Sus scrofa: one gene and its partner. The protein of the gene in region 2 interacts with the protein of the main gene of each other region in a biochemical or structural test. Links are inferred from orthologs where the notes say so. Each region holds a gene or a part of one and is shown on either strand. Other genes may lie near its edges.

Region 1 (4,485 bases), about 52 Mb from region 2:
TTGGGCATATATAAGTTCCCAGGCTAGGGGTTGAATCAGAGTGCAGCTGCCGGCCTATGCCATAGCAATGCTGGATGAGAGCTGCATCTTCAACCTACACCACAGAGGCACAGCAACACCGGATCTTTAACCCACTGACTGAGGCCAGGGATCCTCAGGACATTTTTCTGGGTTCTTAACCTGTTGAACCACAACGGAAACTCCCTCCCTGTTATGTTCTTAGTTTTTCTAGGGAACTGTAAAGGGTCATATGGAGGACTTCTGCTTTTTTACAAAACTGCTAATGAAAATAGTAACCATTAGGATGTGTTTTTTAACTAAGACATGCTATAAATTTATCTCAATGCTATAACAAGTTTGTATCTCTTTTTGATATGGTATACAGTGTTACAGTGTTTCCTTTCTTGCTTTGGCTGTTAGGAATTTCAGGATTTAGTTCCACCAAAATTTTCTGGCTTTCTTTCCATAGCTTTCTCCCAATTCATGGGGATCAATCTGGACTCTTTTTTTGCTTTTTGTCACATCCGGGGCATATGGACGCTCCCAGGCCAGGAATCGAATCTGAGCCACAGCTGTGGCCTGTGGTGCCACTGTGGCCACACTGGATGGAACCCATGCCACTGCAAAGACAATACCAGATACTTAACTGCCATGCCATGGTAGGAATGTCTGGGCTCTTAAACTTATATATATATATATATATATATTTTAATAACATATGCATACGTGAATTAATTAACTATAAAAAACACAAGTTAAATCACTTACCTTTTCTTTAAGTTCTTTGTATTGTAACTGAAGTACCTCTAATTCAAAATTATCTTTAACTGGAGCACTTTCTCTCTTTTTCCCTGTAGGATTTTTTGGCATTCCATCTAATCTGGGGACCTTTTGAACATCTGTAAAAAACAGTTCCCATGTACTTTTCAGGACCTAATATTTTTCCATTTTTACCAGACAATGCTGAAAATAATCACTTTGGAAAGCAAATTAGAGAAAGATATAGTAAGCAATATAGGTATTGTCCAACATAAGAACATAATTGAATCCTTATGAAAGAACAGATCCTGCCAACCTCTCCCCATTCCCCATCCAATTTTTTTTTTTCCACTTATGGCCACACTGGTGGCACATGGAAGTTCCCAGTCCAGGGACTGACTGCCTATGGCACAGCTGTGGCAATTCCAAATCCTTAACCCACTGTGCCTGGCCAGGGATGCAACCTAAGCCACTGCAGTCGGATTCTTAACACACTGCGCCACAGCAGGAATTCCTTCCCACCCCTTTTTAAGAGTCTTACCTAAAGTTGAAAGGTGCTCTGGTCTCACTGATCAGAACTCAGAGGTCTATTATCAACAATATTTACTGAGGACCTACAATATGCCAGGCACAATTTAGCCTCAAAAGAAAGGTACAGTGGTGAGCAAAATGGATACAGTCCTTACACTCATGCAGCTTACATGGCAGTAAAAAATACACGAATAAATGTAAAATCACAATTGTTATAAGAGCTGCAGAAAAGAACAAATATAGGAAAGCCCATACTAGGAGATTTGATCCAAGTGAATGATTGGAGTGCTTCTGTAGGGAAGTGATAACTGAACTGAGAGCTGAAGAACAAGCAGGAATTAAGCAGGTGAGTGGGGATGGGGAATGGATGGAAAGAATACTCAATGCATAAGAAACAGCAATGTGCAGTTTCTATATGGTAAGGAGCAGGGAGAATTCAAGGAATGAAGCGAAGTCAGTGAAGTCCCACAAGCCTTCACTTATTTCCCACCTAGAATGTAAGCTCCATGAAGGAAGGGGCTTCTGTCTTTTGTTCACTGTTAAGTGTCTGCAGCTCTTAAAGTTTGGCACCTCATACAATTTATTGGTTGTATAAAAGAATGTCTCTTCTACCTCTTGCTACTTCCAAGCCCATCTTATCCTTATGGGAAAAGGGAAAAGGACCCATGTTAGAAGGGGTGGGAACTAACAGCTCAGGCTCATTCATTCATTCATTTCTCAGAGAGCTCTTAGGTGTTTTTGTCCCAAGTGCTTCGTCACATAGAAATGCGTGAGGGAATTCCAGTTGTGGCTCAGCCGTAACGAACCCAACTAGTATCCATGAGGATGAGAGTTCAATCCCTGGCCTCACTCAGTGGCTTAAGGATCCAGCATTGCTTTGGCCGTGACATTAGTTCTAAAGCCACTCAAACCTGTCCTAAGAATGGGTCCTCATGTGTAGGTAGTAATGGTGGGGGTTCTGATGGCAGTGGTAATCATGTTCCAAGGATCCTAGTGGTCCAAACTATAGGAACTAAAGTAAAATGTCAACCTAGCTTTCTATATTTTAAATAGGCTGTCTGACATTCCTGATATATTTCTCCCCCAAATCAAAGGACCTTTTCGGGCACAACCGCTGCTTAAATCAAGCTGTTCCTGTATTTTTAAAAGGTGAAGGAGTAATGTGGGTGCAAGACACCGTGGCAGCGGTCGCTGAGGGATTCCCCAGTCTTCTAGGGGGTCTGGCAAGGGCTGCATTATCCTCGGGGGAAAAGGCCCCGAGGCGCACTCACTGGACATGTCCCGACCCGTGGTCGGGCACTGGCTCAGGGCCTGTGACGCGAGGGTGTCCAGCTCCTCCAGGTCGTCGGCGGTGAAATCCCCATGGGCGCCGAAAGGGTCTTCGGGGTCAGGAGCGGCGGCCGCTGGGAAGCCCCGGGCCCGCTTGCTCGGAGGGTGCCCGGGGCTGGGCGGCGGGCCAGGATTGGGTGCCGGGGGTCCGCTTCGCCTCCTGCTGCCTGGCGTGGGTATTCCAGCCATGCCTGCCGCCGGCCAGTCTCCGAAGGAACGGAGTCCGGCCTCTATCCAGGAGCGGGGACCAACCGCTCGCGCGCCGCCACTTGCCTCAGCCGCTGTGCCACGCCCCGGAGCCAAGGGGCCAATCAGCTGCCAGTTCTTAGGCGCGGAGGGATGACATAATCTGAGCGCGCTACTGCGCTCAACTGAGTGTCTGCCTATTTGTTCTCCGCCTCTGGGCCCCACCCTGTTTGCTGCTCAGGTACTGGCGGTTAGGACTCAGTGGGCCTGGCGGGTGCTTTGTGCAATGTGAGCCAAGTTAACCTGGGGTGACTCACCAGCCCCACCGCCGGGGTGGCTCTGTGCCAGCTTCTTGACATCCCATAGGGTTTGCTGTGCTGGAGGAGTTCGCCCTCCTGATATTCACAAATTCATGCCCGGACATTCACACGCGTGAATCGAGGCAGGCAGCATTCACATTCAGGGTCCTTGTGACCTGACTGTCCTCCAGCCTGAACCACTTCACATATACCTCGAGGCTTTCTTGGGGAGGAGTCTTGGAGAGGGGGGCTGGGCTAGGAGTATGAACAGCGCTGTTGTGAGCACACATCTTTTTGAGAACAGTAAATGTTTTGAATGTGTGCATTTGAGGTAGGTCAATAGAAAAAAAGGAGTAAAGGAATGATCCTGAGAAGAGTGTGTCTGTGTTGGAGGGGGTGGGAACTAACAGCTCAGGCTGTTAATATTCATTCATTCATTTCTCAGAGAGCTCTTAGGTGTTTTTGTCCCAAGTGCTTGGTCATATAGAAATGCATGAGGGAATTCCCATTGTGGCTCAGCGGTAATGAACCCGACTAGTATCCATGAGGATGAGGGTTCAATCCCTGGCCTCACTCAGTGGCTTAAGGATCCAGCATTGCTTTGGCTGTGGCATAAGCTGGCAGCTACAGCTCGGATTCACCCCTACCCTAGGAATTTCCATATGCCGGGGGTGCAGCCCTAAGAAGACAAAAAAGAAATGCATGAGACTCAGTTCAAGGCAGGCCCCCTTAAGTGTTACCTGGGCTGTCCTACAGGTTCAGTGGGAGTTTTATCAAGAGTTAGCAAGGAGGATGGCACACAAGACTACTCAAACAAGGACTTCCTGTCATGGCTCAGCAGAAATGAACCTGACTAGTATCTATGAGGACGCAGGTTTGACCTCTGGCCCCACTCAGTGGGTTAAGGATCTGGTGTTGCTGTGGACTGTGGTGTAGGTCGCAGACACGGCTTAGATCATGAGTTGCTGTGGCTGTGGTGTAGGCCAGTGGCTACAGATTCAATTTGATGCCTAGCCTGGGAACCTCCATATGCCACGAGTGCTACCCTTAAAAAAAAAAAAAAAAAAAAGACTACTCCTCAGACAAGAATATGACACTAAAATGGAGGTCACACAAGTGCTAGGCAGAAGTTATCTCTGGCTAAGAGGGAAGGTGTTAGAGGGGACTTCTGGGCTTGAGTGGCTAACAGGATTTTGTTAGGCAGCAGTGATGTGCAGGATGGTTAACAGGAACGGTGTTGGAGAGGAACTGGGGCAAAACTTTTCATTCTTGCATGCCCAGAGCCAAACTTAGCCTGTGAGTATCCTATGAGTGTCTGTGAAGGCAGTAAATGAAAAGGAGATGGTTGTCAGGGCCTAGAGGGTTCCCTCAGATAGCTGCT
Region 2 (3,819 bases):
GCTATAGCTGCCAGCCTACACCACAGCTCATGGCAACCCCAGATCCTTAACTCACTAAGCGAATCCAGGGATCTAATCCATGTCCATGAATATTAGTTGGGTTCGTTACTGCTAAGCCCAGTAGTGAACTCCCTATAGTTCTTTAAAAATCTCCTTCATAACTTTGTATTAACTATTTAAGTGTGAGTCAGGAAATACAGAATGAATGATCTTGTAAAAAATGAACAAGGAGTGTTAGTCTATAATGTGGCAGTAAAAATAAGACTAAATCTTCAAAGAGGGTCCACACTTTGTTTCTTCTGATGGAATAATTACCTCATGCTAAGATACTAGACTGGAAATATACACCTAACGAGTTCTAAATTCTTACTTTTATTTATTGACGGGCAAAGGTCTTTTGACTAAATGTTTGGTTAGAAGAGCACTGGCTTTTGAAATGTATAAAAATGTGTTCTACTCTGTAATCATATATGCCCAGGAAAGTTAGTTTAGGCTTCAAACAAAAAAGGGCCTCAATTTCTCTGAGCCTCAATTTCTAATGTGTAAAATGGACATAAGAGCATTTTCTTCATAAAACTGTTGTAAAGATTAAATAAGATATGTATAGTACTTAATACAGTACCTGGCATTTAGTGAGTGCTTAATCAAAAATTTTTTTTATCATTTTAGGGCCATACCCATGGCATATAAAGGTTTCCAGGCTTGGGGTCGAATTGGAGCTATACCTTCTGGCCTATGCCACAGCAATGCCAGATCTGAGCCACATCTGCAACCTAACACCATAGCTCATGGCAATGCCAGATCCTTAACCCACTCAGGGAGGAAAGGGATCCAACCTGCATCCTCATGGATACTAGTCAGACTTGTTTCTGCTGAACCATGATGGGAATGCTTAAAAGAAATTTTTTTTTTTTTTTTTGCCTTTTAGGGCCGCACCTGAGGCATATGGAAGTTCCCAGGCTAGGGGTCGAATCAGAGCTACGGCTGCCAGCCTATGCCACAGTCAGAGCAATGCAGGATCCAAGCCACATCTGTGACCTACACCACAGCACACAGCAATGCCAGATCCTTAACCCACTGAGCAAGGCCAGGGATTGAACCCACATCCTGATGGATTCTAGTCAGGTTTGTTAACCACTGAGCCATGAAGGGAACTCCTAAAAAATTTTTATTTCACTGAAAAGTTTGTGTTCCAAGGTCACAAAAATCAAGTAAAGAGGTCTCCTAAAACAATAAATTCAAATTTATTACATGAAATCCACCCAGAAAATGCAAGTTGTTTTACCAGTCCATGTTTTGATGAGAACAATGAACAGTACACAGAGCAGTCAGTTGTAGGATGACAGAGATTCCTTCTAATGTCTCAATAACTGGATTCTTCATATTATTGAATTCAAGGAAATTCTGAAGGGATTCAGCTTTCTGTTTCAGTAAATTCCATAATATGCTCTTTTTGTTCACATCCACATGTTTAAATCTGTAATTAATTATAACCAGAGTATAAAGGTATTCATATTCAATACAAATTTTGCTCACATATGAAAAATACTTAAAACAAAAGACAGCATGTAATGGCAACTACTGAAATTTAAAACAACTTTTACAGTTGGCTGAAAAATGAGTATTCTTTGACTACATTACAAAAAATAGTTTAACATTTTTAAAATAGCTGATCTATCATCTCAAGATTTTTCATGTGTTAAAAAGTTAAATTAGCCATGAAATCTTTTATACTGGAATAGACTACAAAAAGAAATATTAAAATATTTTAAGCATTCCTTTGACAACCTATAGAAAGAAAAAAAATGCACTCCGTGTATTTAAGTCAAAGAATTTAAGGTGATTTTTAAGTGAATAAAGTTTTATTAAGTGGCTAAATACAAACTGAATCAAGGTCATACTCCTCAGTCTGTTTTGGTGCTCTCTTGGAAGCATTTAGAGATGAGCTGAGTCGACGCCGTTTGGGTGATAGTCCATCACTATTACTGCTGGGGTTTTCCTGTTGAATTTGGCACTGAACCTTCTCAATGATTTCCATACTTTCCATTTTCAAGGCTGCATAAAGTGGGCCCAACAAATACTGAGGAAGCAAAAATAATTTTAAGGTAAGTTTATATTATTCACAGATAGCAAAAATGCATTAGGTATTAGTTATAAGATTTCACATAAGGTTTTTAATAAGGTTGCTTGATGAGACTATTTTCAGTCTCATCAAGCAAAACAAAGACCTAAGTTAATCTATACTATTTCAGAGTCTATAAATAGACACATACATAGTTCTACATCTAGAACTATGGTTCTATAGTCTTAGATAGCCTCAGACAACTCCTTCTCTCTCTAATCTGTTTTTCACTTGACCACAATGGCACAAAGAAAAATTCTTAATTCCTAAAGGGAACCACTAACTTCTTTCATACTACAAATTTAGCAAGACTTACAGATAAAATAAACTATTTAATCAACTTATTGCATATCTATTTTATTGTACTACCTGTATCCCATACTCCAAAAAAGGGCATAATTTGACATGACTAGTACTATATACCTATAGGTTTTCTAAAAGTAATTGTTACAACCTGTCAAAGAAAAATCCATGTGTGTGCTCAAAGTTTTTGCAATTAAGTTGATAACTGACCCTCTTTTAATTAATAAGGCAACAAACTCTACTTTAAAACATTCTACTGCCTTGGCAGTTCATTACCAATGTAGTGAACAAATCTTTCTGAAATCCAATTAAAAATCCATAATAGGAAGCCAAAGTAGATTATGAAAATCATCCCATTTTGAATGTACATTTGTATTATTAAAGATACTCTATCTTCTCATTATTACATTTGCATATATGCATACAATGAAGAACAGAATACATACTTAACAAGTAATCTTAAAAAAGACTTACCTCTGCTTCTACCTGAACCCCAAGCACATCCACAAGAGTTCTACAAATATTTCTCACATACACCTTCCTGACTTGTAAAGCAGATTCATACCCAGCTGGCACATATTTAAAGAAATACTGCAGCAAGTGGCATAAAGCTGCTTTTAGCAAATCAGACTTAAGCTGCACAAGCACACCGTCTTCAAACATGACACAGAGTTTTTCTAGCAGCATATTTAAATAGACAGGCTCAATATTTCTATAAGCTTCTGCTTCAAAGGGGAATAATGTCTTTATTAGCTTTGACAATGGCTCTTCATAGAGTTTCAGCTGGTCAGCATCCATGTCTACAAGGTGCTTTAATAATTCCAAAAATGAACTGAAGAAAGTGCTAGCTGGTTGTGCTGGTAGTCCTCCAAGCTCAAAGAGTTCAGTTAAAAGCCTAATTGCTAAGGCTTTAATTTTTGGACTACCACACTCTAGCAGAACACAACCAATCCGCCAAAGTAAAAGTTCTTGTCTTCTAAAAAACACAGTTGCAATAATACGAATAAGAACCGTTAATAAAGTGACTTCAAGAAACTCTAAATTTTGCATGTTCATAAACTGCAAAGGAGCTGGTTGTAAATATCCCACATGTTCATCTAATTGACTTAAAAATCGGCTAACTACCACTGGCCATTCCACAAAATGTCCCATTGCATCTCTTTTGTGGAGGTAAATCAAGTCTTCAAAAAGATGTAATAATTCCTTTGTCAGTACTCCAAAAATAGTAGGACTCTTGCTTTTAAAAAGAAACAATAATGAGCAGATGACTTCACAGATTTTCTTGTGTAACACATGACAGGATGGAGTTGCTGCAATCCGCAAAAGCCTTGTTATGATCCAATTACTGAATTCTTTGAAATAAAAAAATAAAAAAGATATTAAGTAAGTACATC

Evidence for each region.
Region 1: the proteins of ATR (region 2) and ATRIP form a complex in vitro, tested with the Homo sapiens proteins (4 studies listed by BioGRID and IntAct, with this or other methods). The link is inferred for Sus scrofa from reciprocal best matches to the Homo sapiens genes ATR and ATRIP.

What each region holds. Positions count from the first base shown.
Region 1 is NC_010455.5:31,158,272-31,162,756, reverse strand, and holds the start of ATRIP (ATR-interacting protein), read right to left. Parts: upstream 2,909-4,485; 5' UTR 2,809-2,908; coding exon 2,562-2,808; intron 900-2,561; coding exon 769-899; intron 1-768. UniProt on the Homo sapiens protein: Required for checkpoint signaling after DNA damage. Required for ATR expression, possibly by stabilizing the protein.
Region 2 is NC_010455.5:83,272,957-83,276,775, forward strand, and holds part of ATR (serine/threonine-protein kinase ATR), read right to left. Parts: intron 3,778-3,819; coding exon 2,900-3,777; intron 2,081-2,899; coding exon 1,902-2,080; intron 1,478-1,901; coding exon 1,286-1,477; intron 1-1,285. UniProt on the Homo sapiens protein: Serine/threonine protein kinase which activates checkpoint signaling upon genotoxic stresses such as ionizing radiation (IR), ultraviolet light (UV), or DNA replication stalling, thereby acting as a DNA damage sensor.